3 linked regions of the Canis lupus familiaris genome follow. The protein of the gene in region 3 interacts with the protein of the main gene of each other region in a pairwise test. Links are inferred from orthologs where the notes say so. Each region holds a gene or a part of one and is shown on either strand. Other genes may lie near its edges.

Region 1 (4,066 bases), on a different chromosome or scaffold from region 3:
CATATATATGTAAATACATACACGCATGTTTGGGAGCACATAATATGGAGAATATGCCCAGGAAGATGGAGAGAGAGAGAGAGAGAGAGAGAGAGATCTCTTACACCCCTCCCACAATGCAGTACGAAAGCTGTTCAAGAGATTTGGGCTGCAGATGGCCTTGATATGGTGCCTCATTGGCCAGCAGCTGAAGAGAAAGAGTATGCTGAACTGAGAGAGTACGCTGAACTGTGTGACTTCGGAGAAGGTTAGAAAGAAAACCCCTTTGACAGAGGGATCATCCAGGATCTGAGTAAAGCACCATGACCATATCTCCCTTACATTTCCCTCTTGCCTGTCTGAAAGAAGGCATGTTCATTCAACCTGGGTACTTCTGGGACTCTTGGGTAAAGTCCAGTCTCACTGGACAAAAGAAAAAAAATATATATATATTCTTTTCCTAACCAAAGTAGCTCCCAGGAAGAGACTAATTACCATTGTACTTTAATTTCATTCCTTTTGAGATATCACCTTTCCCTGATGTACTTATATTCTGTTGTTAATGGTCACAATCACAATGAATCAAAACTCACCTAAATTCTTTAAAAAATGTATGTTTTGGGCAGCCCGCATGGCTCAGCGGTTTAGCACTGCCTTCAGTCCAGGGCCTGATCCTGGAGACCCAGGATCGAATCCCACATTGGGCTCTCTGCTTCTCCCTCTGCCTCTCTCTCTCTCTCTCTCTCTCTCTCTCTCTCTCTCTCTCTCTCTGTGTGTGTGTGTGTCTCATGAATAAATAAATAAAATCTTTTAAAAATGTATGTTTCCATTTGTCTGCTGTTAAGAACTTCAGAATTTAGAAGAAAAAAGCAAATTCTGAGGGACATCATGTAAAAATCTCTGGGCCTCCAGCCATTTCCAGCTGAGTTTGGGGTGCAGCACAGCCCTTCTGATTCACCTTCCAGGCTTTTTTTAAAAAAGATTTTATTAATTGATTCATGAGAGACACAGAGAGGCAGAGACACAGGCAGAGGAAGAAGCAGGCTCCCTCCGGGGAGCCCAATGCAGGACTTGATCCCAGGACCCTGGGATCATGCCCTGAGCCAAAGGCAGACGGTCAACCACTGAGCCACACAGGCGTCCCACCTTCTACAGTTTCTACCTGGGGCTCCTATGCTGGTTCCTGAAATACTGCCGGATCTTCACTCGGCAGAATCAACCATCCCCCAAAAGGAACTATGGACTAAGGCAAGAAAGTGGTCTCAGGGGGGTTGGTATCTTAGCAAGGAATAAAGCCAAGATACAGATTTCCCCCTTGAGTCCCCAGGAAATCCAGCCTACTCCCCACATGAGCACATTTCCAGAGCCTTCTAGATCATTGAAGAGTGGTTAATAACTGAAACAGTGCTCCCTCAGTACTTTTTATGGAGCGGATCCCACTGTCATCCTCCGGAGAGCCCAGGAATTGAAGAAGCAAGCTACACCCAAGGAGTCCAGATGGTTTCAACCTTCTGATGCCTAAATCCAGCCCCAGACTCTGGATGCCATCTTCATTCATCCTGCAAGTATTTATTGAACTCTTGTATGCTCCAGGCAGTTTTATGTGCTAGTGTTATGGTAGTGAATGAGACAAATACCATCTCTGCCCTCATGGAGTTTTCATTCAGTGGCAGGCTGTCAGGAAGGAAAGTGACAACAGGTGAGGTGGCCTGCAGATGTAAATGCTGATGCCACTCACGCCATTCCCTTCTAAAATGTCAGGCTTATGGGGCATCTCGGTGGCTCAGTGGGTCAAGCGGCTGCCTTTGGCTCACAGGGCATGATCCCAGGGGTCCTGGGATTGAGCCCTGTGTCAGGCTCCCTGCTCAGCAGGGGGTCTGCGTCTCCCTCTAGCCTCTGCTCCTCCCCCTGCTCATGCTCTCGCTTTCTCTCAAATAAATAAATCTTTTTAAAATTACTTAAAAATTAAAATTAAAATGTCGGTCTCCAATTCTCCACCTTGCCTCTTGCCATGGGAGGTGAATTCTGCAACTTGACAGAGCAACTGCCAAAGCGGACCTGGAGTCTGCTAAGAGATGACAAACTGACGCCCTTGAGGTTTGTCTATTCGTGAGTTCCCTGAGGCAAGGGCTGCATCTAATTTATTTCTAGATACCCAGCAGGTAGCACAGGAGGGCCACTCAGTAAATATTGAAGGAACAAATGAATGAGTGAGGTCTTTTACACTCTACGGGGTGGGAGGGAGTCCATTGTCTTGCCTAGGCTGTCTCAGCCTCCACCACTTAGTGTTAGCCCTCTGGCTTCAAAGTGACCCTCAGGCTGATGGTCCCCTGGAAGGCGAGCACCAACCTGGAGAGGGAATGGATATTGAGGGAGTCTTGGGGTGCCCCCCTCACCCTGATATACTGGTACAGATGGATATAACTCTGATAATACTAGAACAGATGTCCACACATGCACATTTCAAAGAACTGTCCAAGCAAAATGATACAGATGTTTGGTGGCTTAGTGATGGCAAGAACAGTTAGCTTGATGGGACACTGAGCTGGCAGAAGAGGGAGGCACAGGAGACAGTTCTGTAAGGCGGATGCCAGGCTCTTTTACTTACTTTAATACCTGTGCAACTGTATTTGGTCCAAACCATTCGCCAATTGATTTCCCTTCTCCTACACCCATCTGTGCTGTTTTTATGTGGGGAGGGGGGAAAAAAAGAGACGTTAGCAAAAGTTCTTCCAGCATGCCACAAACTCCTAATTTTTTGCATGAATAATTAAGCAGATGGACAAGTTTGCAGAGCCCATATAAGGCAGGGGATGAAAGCAGAAGGTACAGAACACTGCCTCAAGACCACTGATGTGACCTTACCCATTTGATGGATAGAGTAGCAACAGTCCTTTCTATCTAAGAAGCACTGGAGGATCCGTTGGTATTCTCTGGGTTGTTCTTTCTGTTTCTCCCAGCTCCAGTCTTTTGAGGGAAAAAAAATGTATGAAAGTCATGTTTGTAACTGCTTATTACCTCACTGCCCTCTTACTGCCACTACGATGTTACAAAGAAAACAAAGGAGTTCCAGCTAAAAGGCAGGGGCTATCGGGTTAGCACATTCCTAATTAACTTCGATTTTGATGACAAAGGCATCTAGAGACATTACTTTCAAAGTCTCTGTGGGTGTAAAGTATAAGCAAAATAACAAGCTGACTGAGGAACTGACTTAGCCCGGAGGCTGGAGCTAGATAAGTATTACATGAAAACAATGTCAGAAAAGGCTTTTCTGGTCTGTTCAGCTACTGAGGTCACTACAAAGCCCAGAGGTATATCCTTAGGCCGCCCTGACGCCATACTCTCTCATCTCTACACAGACAGCAACGGCTTTGGTTCATGTATTTTGGCAACATTGCGAAAGAGTCTCACTAGGGAAGTGCTATTCAGACACACAACAGTGCACTGGGGAAATACACACAATTCACAACTGAGGAAGCTCAAAAGAAATTGCATGCTGTCATTTTTACACAACCTTCAAAGAGTCCACACTGACCTTTAGAAAAACGAATAACCTCTGTGTTTAAGGTTTCTTTGTGACCAAAACTAAAATAATCATACCTATAGGAAGCCCCTCTGTGCCTCAGGCATGCCAATCTCCCCACGCCCCCGCAAATGCTGCAGAGTCTATTTATCCCAGGATGCAGGACAACTGCAAAGATTCTCCATGATCACCGCTGTAGACAGGATGTGCCTCTCCCATTCCCTCAGCTCTAGGAACTCTGTCTCATGGGACAGCTCTCTGGGACTTAGTTGGCTTCCAAGACACAAATTTCTCTCTCAAGGTTTTAGACACTATTTAACTTCACAACTGAAGTATTCTTGAAGCCAGAGGCCACTGTCTCCAGAATCTTCTGTTTTCTTTGCTTCTAATAGTTCTGAAATCAAAGTTTTAAACTTTGTAGCCAGCACAGTCTTCAGAGGGTGAACTGCATCCAACTTTTTTTTTTCCATTTGCTACTGAATTGTCCAAGTCTGGGGAAATCCTAATTAGCTGGCTGCTAGGTACCACTAAATGTGGACTGAAGACAGTGATAAGTGAGCACTC
Region 2 (4,804 bases), on a different chromosome or scaffold from region 3:
GCAGCATTTCAGGCATCCAAGATGGGAAAGCTATTTGTAAGACAGGTCTAAAAATAGTCACAGCTTTTTCCACAACCCTAGCTTTCTCCTTGGGTCTGAGCAGGCCATCTTGGACTACATCTGCCCCAACATCCAAGCATCTAAACCCCATCTCTAGAATGATGTCCTAAATGACTGAACCATGGCCCTTTTCAATGAACAGTGTTTTAAAATAGTGTCCTCAAAAGTGGTCCTCCATCTTTTTAAGCAATGTTGCTCAGCCCTCAACATCAATTATAAAAGTTGCATTTGAATTCCGTATTCCCGTTCTGCTCTCAATTCTGGTGTGCAGACACTAGCCACCTCTCTCAAGTCTTCAGTTCCTTCTTCTTCTGAGCAAAATAAACCCACTTCTACTAACCTTCCTTTTGAGGTTTTATTTTTCAACTCTTTGGGCATCTCTCAGTCTTAACCAATACCAAATACTCCTTAATCCTCATAGCTATAGATATAAGGAAACAAATGTTTCAGTACATTGGCATTCCAGGATGATTCCTCACTTTTCATACTTCATTTCCAACCAGTTGGGAGTGAGGTGGGAGGATGAATGATGTTACCTGAACCAGCTAACTTTTTTTGGATTTTTAGCTGAATTTATCTTTTAATAAATTTTGATCCTGGATATCTTTTGGATGCACACACACACACACACACACAGAAGCACATATATAAAATTATATATTGTATATATTATATAAATATATGAACAATTGATGAGTACTATATTACTATTTATAATGGTGATTATTCATTATATATAATTACATATAATTGTTATATATTTTTATATTTCATTTCTATTTCTTCATATTCATATCCGCCATTAAAAGTCCTAGTTAATCTATAATTCTGTTTTTGGGCAGCCTGAGTGGCTCAGCAGTTTAGTGCACTTTCAGCCCAGGGCCTGATCCTGGAGACCCAGGATCGAGTCCCACGTCAGGCTCCCTGCATGGAGCCTGCTTCTCCCTCTGCCTGTGTCTCTGCCTCTCTCTCTTTCTCACTCTTTCTCACTCTCTGTCTCTCATGAATAAATAAATTGAATATTTAAAAAATATATTAAAAATATATACATAATTCTGTTTTCATTCTGACATTTCTACTGTTCCCCATGGAGTTGTCTTTGCACATATTTTAGGATTCTTCATTCCTTTTTATCCTACTTTGTAGGGCTATATAAACAGTTGTTAACAACTAAGAAGCTCTTCTCAAACTCAGAACTTCAGGTGCTCTTTCAAATAACAATAAGATGTATTCATTTTACTCATGCACTTAAATATGATATAAGTAGGAACAGAGTTGTTTCTTTTCTTAGCATCTTCTTTTTGTGTAGCAGTGTTTTATTACAAACTCACAGCCTCTGAACCAAAGATCTCCTAAAACTTTTAATTGTAATTGAGAACACAGCTGTCTTCTTTTCTTTTGGTTGCTATAATCTTCTCTCTAATGGAGAGCAGCCCTGAAATTACTAAAGACTTTGGAAAACAATGTGCTTTTAAAATATTTCCTCCCTCTGTGGCCTTTACTTGTCACAGATAGGATGCCTATAAAATGCAATACACAATCATGGAAACCAAGGCTACCAAGCTACAAATGCTAATTGTAGATGAAATGAGCTTTATAATGTGTATTTGGAAGCTTAAATGATGGGTTTTAGTTCTGGAGTACAGATGAAGATAAAATTCTCAAACCTGGATAGACAGATGAATGGGCATTTTTTATTATGATGATTTCCCAAGACTCATGCTATAGATAATGTTCTTAAGGTTTATAATAAATAAAGAACTAAACTAAAGCTAGAATTTTTTTAAAGATGTAGTTTTTATTCATCACTTCAATGAACAGTGACTCTGAGTGACTTGTGTCCCTTATTTCACAGGAACTCTTCAAAGGAATGTAAACTCTTTATTCACTCTCAAAGGTGTATTTCCAAAGCATTAACTCTCCCAGAAAGTGAAATATTTATATCAAAGAGTATCGAAAGCAAAGTTGAGATTTTTTCTTTTTTTCTTTTTTCTTTTTTCTTTTTTGTTGTTGTTGTTGAAAGAGGCCAAAATAAAAAATCACTTCACCTACCAGAAAATTAGCAGATATGGGTGGGTATTTGGATGTTTATAATAGAAGCTGACTTCAATGTAACACCAAAGAGCAATAAAATAAAATCATCAGTTTCTCTCCATGGAAAATAAGAAGCAAAGCAATTTTTGAAAACCTCCACAATCCACACTTTAGAGGATAAATATTAGATGGCTTATTTTTTAAAAATCACTGAAATTCTAAGTAAATGAGATAACATTTCAGTACTAAAATGGCGCGTGGATGGATACTAACAACCCTAAGGATATATCGGCTTTTGCTTATAAACCGTAACACCAATCTGATGAGTCACAGGAAATTCTGAATTATCTCCAGTGCATTCAATGGGCTTGAATTTTACCTTAAAAAATATTTGCAAAGGACAGAACAAAGTGCTCCGAACTAGTGCGGGCAACCAGGCAAAAAGGCCAGGCAAAGGAACTAGTTTCCTTTCCAGAAGACGCTGACCTTGCTCCACACCCTAATATTTTCCATAACCATAGTTTTCAGTAAGGGTTTTTTTTTGGGGGGGGGGGGAGGGATGGGAGGGTCATTTAAAGCCTCAAAACTCCCCTGGCTGTTCTATTCGCCCCCGTGCAACCTCAGAGTCCCTCACCCAAAACTCTTCCAGGAATCCTTTACTTCAAAGAGGCCGCCCTCGGGGGCTCTCCGAGGTCCTGCACCGCGGGCAGAGCCCCGCCACCGGGCTGGAGCCCCAACCGCGCGTCCTGGCGCCAGGCGGACCTTCCCTCCCGACCCCAGCCACTGCGGCGCCGGGACCCGCACTCACCGGATGATCACGAACATGACCAGGGAGTTGCCCACCAAGCCCACGACGAACACCACGGAGTAGACAGCCGTGATGATGACGGGGATGGCGGGAGAGATGTGCGCGGACTCGAGCTGCGCGCCCTCGGAGCCGCCGCTGTGGTTGCCTTCCGTCTCGGCCCAGCCGGGCAGCCAGCCGCTGCCGTTGGGGAGCAGGCAGGTGCTCGCGGAGCAGGTGGGGCCCGGCTCCCCGCGAAAGATCTGGACCGGGGACTCCATGGTCCGGCGGCCGCAGGTGCAGGGCGAGCAGAGGCAGAACCTGCGGGGCGGCGAGAGCGAGAGAAGCTGGACCCGGAGAGGCAAACTTGGCGGCACACGGGCCAGCGCCGGGGGCCAGCAGGCCCGGGGCGCCGGGACCAGCCTGATGCCCAGCCTGATGCCCAGCCTGATGCCCACCCGGCGCACGTCCCCGGGGGCGGGAAAAGGCGGGCGCCTGGCGCTACCCGCTCGACTAGCACAGCGGACAGCGCTCGCTCCTCTTCCCCGGCTCCTGCAATCCCCTCCAACCCCTTCCTAGGTACGACCCCTCCTCCCGCCCCCGCCCCGTGAAACCGTCCCCAGACTGCTGCTCTGAGCCCCCAGACACGAAGAGCTCTCGAGCAAGGAGCCGTCGCTCCCCAGGGCTGCTCCTAGAAAGTCGAAAGCCCAAAGCCCACCTCCGGCTCCCGGAGACCCGCGCAGCGGTCTCAGCCCTGGAGTCGCGGCGCGCCCGCAGCTCGGCGCCCTGGATGAGGCACCTTCTCAGCCCAGCCCGGTCCCCGCGGCTCAGCGCGGCTCAGCGCGGCTCAGCGCGGCTCCCACGGCCCGCGGCGGCTCAGCCAGGCGTGCGCTGCAAGGACTCGGAGCGCGCGGGCTCGGCGGGCGGGGAGCTCCCCGGCGCCCCGCCCCTGCCCGGGCCGCGCCCCCAGCCGAGGCTCCCCGACCACCAACTACCCAGAGCCTCAATCAGCCTCTCCTGGGCGGCCCTAAGACTAGCAGCTGTGCGGATTAGCTTTAGCAGTAAGGGTGTGCCTCCTCAGTGCGATTATGCATCTGGATTATTCATAATAAAGTCTAGAGCTACTGTGGGCATCGTTCTCAAGACATGTCTTCTTTCAAGAGAGGAGAAATTCTGAATGACGCATCCAAATAAAGTGGCAAAACAATCCAATTAGAGTAAGACCGGGCCATCAGATATTAATGATTTAATATACGTAAATAGAATATTTCTGTTCATTCTGTTCCTTTCATTCTTCTCTGAGATGACACACAGACTGGCATCTCAGGTATTATCCGTATTTCGTGGTTATTACCTGCAATGAGTAAGACACTCTCCTTACTCAGGCCTCGGCGCTGGGCCGGGAGTTGACATTGTCTTTCTCTTTTATTAATCCCTGCAAATCCACTTTCCCTTCACTGGGATGCCTTCTTTATAGAGCCCCCAAGAACCTGAACCCTCATGGAGAAGTTCAGTCATCATCATTTCTGTGCATAACTCCACCAGTCCAAGGATATCTGTCAGATTCTGCTGAAATGTCCCCTCAGGCAAAGAGACCCAGGGGATGATGAAGACAAGGAAGGAAGGCCAAAGTTGGCTGTACAGGGGAGCCAGGACTCAGCCACTGAAGGACAGTGGAGAAGTTCCCCTTTCCAGACTGGGTACAGGAATCAGGATGCCTATACAGTCATTCCATTCATCAGTTGACCGCAGAAGAGAGCTTCCACCTTGTTTCAGATATTGTGACTCCCAAAAAGGCATTTGACCACCAGAATCTTACTACAACCTCGAAATACACAGCTCTTCTTGGCAATGTGATTCGAAGAACAACAGGAAAGCTCTTCTTTGCCCCCACAACATCTCTCCAACCCTGGGGCCATTGGTGTT
Region 3 (4,602 bases):
GTTTCCAACAACCCCAACTCTACTCATAGGCCCTGGACTAGATGCTTTTCCTCTTTGGTTCTCGACGTGTTTTTTTCTTCTGTGCAATACGGCCAATATTCCACAAGGGCTTTTACAAATTTTAAAGAATAGACAATATGTCCCTAACAGTTTCCTGCAGTGTTGAAGGTTTTCAATACACTGTAGCTATGCAGATACTTTAAGATCCAAAGAAAACCTTTCCTCTCAAGGCAGGAGCACATCCATTCTTTTGGATGGTAGCTAAGAGATAAGGAGGGGCCTAACTAAAACTGAGTTATGTGAGCAGTCAGGGAACCTGATTGCTTTGGTAAATACCAATGGCCCAGCTGGAAGGGGTTTTAGAAATCACTTACACTAACCCTCTTTTCTGTACACTTTAGTACAGCAAGATTAAGGATCTGGCCCAAAACTAAATCTCACAACTCAGAGAGCAGAGCTCTTCTTCCTGCATCACGACCACAAAGAAGGTCACAGGCTGAGCACCTAAGGAGCAGCTGGAACGCTTATAAACTGGTTAAAACCCAACTGAAGGAACCATGAGACCTGAGTGATGATTCTAAGAGCTGACAAGTAATCACACAGGCCAAACATTTTTAACACCAAACAATGAGCAGGAAAAGAATAGGGAAGATTAGCTGAAATACTCTGGGTGAATGCATGTAAGAGACTGAAATGGCAAGGGCTCGGTTTTGAAGAAATACATGGGAATTTTAACTAGATTTAGGAACAGGTACCTTTCAGAGTTTGTGGCTTAGGCAGAGCTACTGGAACAGAGCCTCATACTGTTCTGAATAAATGGTAGTCATTTTGCTCAGTGGGTTACCTTTCTGGCATCATACTTCTCTGACCTTTCTAGGGCTGCAATGTTTTTTCTTAATTTCCAATACCTAACAGTGTGAGTCACACAGTGCCTCCTTAATTAATTCTGAGATTAATTTTCCTTAATTCTTAATTAAGAGAATTGTATTAGAAATTGAGAAACGATATGGCATGGAAGGTCCAACAACCAGAGTTGGAATCTCAGGCTCTGCCACACACCAGCCACAGGAAACCTTTAGGAATCCGTCATTTCTCTGTGCTTCAGATCCTTCATCTGTAGAATGGGATTATAACGGTGTGAAGATTGAGTAAGGTCAGAGGACATGCAATACTGTCAGTATAGAGCAAACAATCAACCAATGAAAGTTAGTTGTCATTTTTAACTATTAGACGAAAGGAGGCTTGCTACCACCACAATTGGGGCAAACTTTTGAAGCTGTCACCCAAAGTCCAGATACCAAACAAGTAATTTGTGAAGGATCATTTACTGGGTGGGTAATAGAGCTAGATCTCCTTTTTAGCTGAAAACCCTTGTGTACAATTCGTGGGGAATGGAACAGACCTAAAGTCTCGCTTCCTTATAAAGGACTGCAGGGGAGTTTTACTGCAGGCATTAAGGCCCAAGTTGCTTCCAGTAGCTGTAACACGATGAAAATTAGGTAAGGATTGGAGAAGAGTCCCAAAGAGTACCTGCAGGTCAAGAACTGACAACACATAATCACAATTACTTTGCCTGTACATAATACGTCATCTTTATCCCAATGTCCCTGCCTGAAGATAGTACAATCTGACAGCCTCTGCTCCTCCATCTCCAAAACCCAACGGTGGTTGTTCCCTCTACCACCACACTCAAAAGTCTTCTGCCTTCCAATCTGGCTGCGCAGCCTACATTACAAAAAAAAAAAAAAAAAAAAAAACAGGCAAGCGGCGGGGGATGGGGCGACGAAAAAAGCGCCCGGATGCAGAAAGCTACCTTAATGTTTCTCTGTTCTCCCCACTGCCGGCACTAATTTTAACCACAGAAACCAGCTTCCAAGACGGAAGCAAAAGGCCCCAGTCCTTCATGGTTGTGTCCAGGTACAATCTGATAGAATAAGTACAGGAGGGAGGCTGGCTGCACCCTCACAAGCCCCTGGAGCCAAGAATGATGAGGCAATCGGGCTGTGGCGCAGAGAACGTGACCTTGTTTTCTGGGCCAGGCCTGTCTCGTGCCCTCCCCTCCCCCCCCCCCCAACAAAGACACTTTTCTCATTCTTATGGAATAAAAGAAAGGATCCACTGATTTCTGAATCTATCCCTCCCAAACCCAATGTTCTGAGAGCCAAAGTCAACTTCAGGGAGACGCATCGAAGGCAGAAATCCATGGCCGCAAACCTCACTGCACCAAGTTATTTCCAGAACAATTTCCCTGGGATTCTGAAGGACGCGAATGTATGGTCCCATCTCGATCCTGCTCTCACTAAAGGGCCACGTTCTGGTCACTTCTCACCCTGCACATCCTCTGAATACTGCTGAGTCACTCAAACGGAGGCTCCGCTCTAAAGATGACGGGGAGAGCGGCCCCGGGGAGACGGGCCGTGCAGGGTCCGCAATCAGGACGTGCGCTCCACGGCTCTCCAGGGGCTCAGCAACCCTAGAGACCACCCCTCTTCTGTGCCTCAGGGCAGCCACCACGACTCCCGGGTTCCCCCAAGCGCGCTCAGCCCCTTCCCCCCTCCTCTTCCCTGCCCCCCATTACACTCACAGGGACCCTGTCCGGATATTTCTTCCGGATTTTTTCTCCTTCCTTTTTCCGATATTCAAAGGGATGGTCCTCCTTGTACTGGAACTTCATGATGGACCGCAGGGTTTCTAAGATTCCCCGGCCGGGGCCTGCCTTCCTCGCGGGTGGCTGCGTCTCTCCCGCCTCGCCTCCCCCTGCCGAATTTCGATGTAGGTGTCAGAACCGCCTGAGAAACGTCAGCTCCCGTCGCCACGCGCCTTGGCAGAGCTTGCAGAAGGGACGTCGGGTCCCCTCGGACGCAAGACGGAGTCGCTCAGGTGGAGAAATCCCGGCGGATTTTCCCCGGAGCCTCGAGCACAAAAACAACACGGCGGCGCGTTGGTATTATGACGTCATGACGTCCCGCCTCCCCGCCCCGCCCCCAGCCTTCGGACGGCAGCGGGGGGCGGGGGGGGAGGGCGAAAGTCGGTCCGGTTCGGCGCGCTCCCCTCTCCCTCTGTCCGAACTCTCCTGCGTCGGGAGTATTGCGAACATATAACTTTTTTACTTCGAATTTCGTTGTGTGGCTGTGACATTAAAAGTGGTTTGGATGCAAAAAAAAAAAAAAAAAATACGTTCTAAAGATATCTTATTCCCTCTTGCTCGCTGTTTCTTGGTTGGATCCAAAAACAAACACAGGGGGCGAAAATCGAGCTCTTTCCAGCTTATTGGGATCTGGAATCTAGGAGAAGAAAGAATGGGGGTCGTCGGGTGCCTTTGGCCCGGTACGGAAGTGCCCGGTGCCTGCACTGTGCCCTTTGCTCCTCGTCTGCACCCCCGCTCCTGGGCGCTGGGCTGGCGCGCTCCGACCGTGACCCTCCTTCACCACGCGCGCGCACGTCATTTTGTTTGGGTCCTTGCCGCAATTCGCTCCTAGAGCGGCAGCAACAACAGAGCATGACTCAGGAATTTGAGATGTAGAAGCTGAAGGGCAAGCTTGTCGTCAAGGTCCTGAGAAGTGATGTCAGTCATCGCTGCCGAGGGCGTCGCTCACGCTCCGATATAGAAATGATTCACTTTCTCCTACGAACTCAGAGGGTGGGCCTGTCTTCTGGAAAAGAAAATAACCAAGCAATTCAGGTGGTTCACAAAGTACCTCTTAAACATTTCTGTTGTTTTTTTTTTTAATTTTTATTTATTTATGATAGTCACAGAGAGAGAGAGAGAGAGAGAGGCAGAGACACAGGCAGAGGGAGAAGCAGGCTCCATGCACCGGGAGCCCGACGTGGGATTCGATCCCGGGGCTCCAGGATCGCGCCCTGGGCCAAAGGCAGGCGCCAAACCGCTGCGCCACCCAGGGATCCCCCATTTCTGTTTTTATTCTGCAAAAATTCACCAGAGGATAGTACTACTTGTTAAGTGTCCCTAAGGTGAAATAAAGTGCCACCCGAAGGGCTGGTGGAAGACTGGTGGGCCACCTGCCGTTGTCGCTTGCCTCTGGCCGTCCCCTGGCCCCACTAAGAATGGAAGAATTAAGGCCTTTCCAACCACTGCCAATGGCAGTGATTCCAGGGATTGTAGATCAGCAGGAGGAAGGCAGAGAAAATTGTAAAAGGTATAGAAGAGAGAGGAAGGACCGCTTTGCTTTGATCAAGTCCAGGGAGCTCTGAAATAAATATACAACAGCAGTCCCCATGTCTCTGGTTTAAAAAACAAACCCACAAAATAAAAGAAACTAAGTTTCATTATTGAAAAAAGGAAAATGAAGATCAATAGCCTTACCTCTTGACGTTAATTATTTCTCCTCCATGATGTCTTTCAGTCCTCTTTAGTATAAAAACCCAGGAACGAGTCTATCACATTATATGTTTATAATTTTTAATCCTTATTTTCAACCAAATGTTAGCTCATTTTAGTTTTGACCCACTATAGCTAAAATCTCTGAAAGGAAGTACTTTACAACCAGCTGAGAAAGATAATTGTGATGGAGATGAATATTTTAAGGGTGTGGTTCTTGGGACACCTGGGTGACTCCTTGGTTGAGCATCTGCCTTTGGCTC

What was found.
Region 1: the proteins of GABARAPL1 (region 3) and ATG4A interact in binary tests that used the Homo sapiens proteins (3 or more experiments, as listed by UniProt). The two-hybrid records come from large-scale screens. The link is inferred for Canis lupus familiaris from reciprocal best matches to the Homo sapiens genes GABARAPL1 and ATG4A.
Region 2: the proteins of GABARAPL1 (region 3) and OPRK1 interact in binary tests that used the Homo sapiens proteins (3 or more experiments, as listed by UniProt). The link is inferred for Canis lupus familiaris from reciprocal best matches to the Homo sapiens genes GABARAPL1 and OPRK1.

The regions. Positions count from the first base shown.
Region 1 is NC_049260.1:82,285,535-82,289,600, reverse strand, and holds part of ATG4A (cysteine protease ATG4A), read right to left. Parts: intron 2,947-4,066; coding exon 2,845-2,946; intron 2,661-2,844; coding exon 2,588-2,660; intron 1-2,587. UniProt on the Homo sapiens protein: Cysteine protease that plays a key role in autophagy by mediating both proteolytic activation and delipidation of ATG8 family proteins.
Region 2 is NC_049250.1:5,350,704-5,355,507, forward strand, and holds the start of OPRK1 (kappa-type opioid receptor), read right to left. Parts: upstream 3,160-4,804; coding exon 2,903-3,159; intron 1-2,902. UniProt on the Homo sapiens protein: G-protein coupled opioid receptor that functions as a receptor for endogenous alpha-neoendorphins and dynorphins, but has low affinity for beta-endorphins.
Region 3 is NC_049248.1:10,351,887-10,356,488, reverse strand, and holds the start of GABARAPL1 (gamma-aminobutyric acid receptor-associated protein-like 1), read right to left. Parts: upstream 2,957-4,602; 5' UTR 2,675-2,956; coding exon 2,585-2,674; intron 1-2,584. UniProt on the Homo sapiens protein: Ubiquitin-like modifier that increases cell-surface expression of kappa-type opioid receptor through facilitating anterograde intracellular trafficking of the receptor. Involved in formation of autophagosomal vacuoles.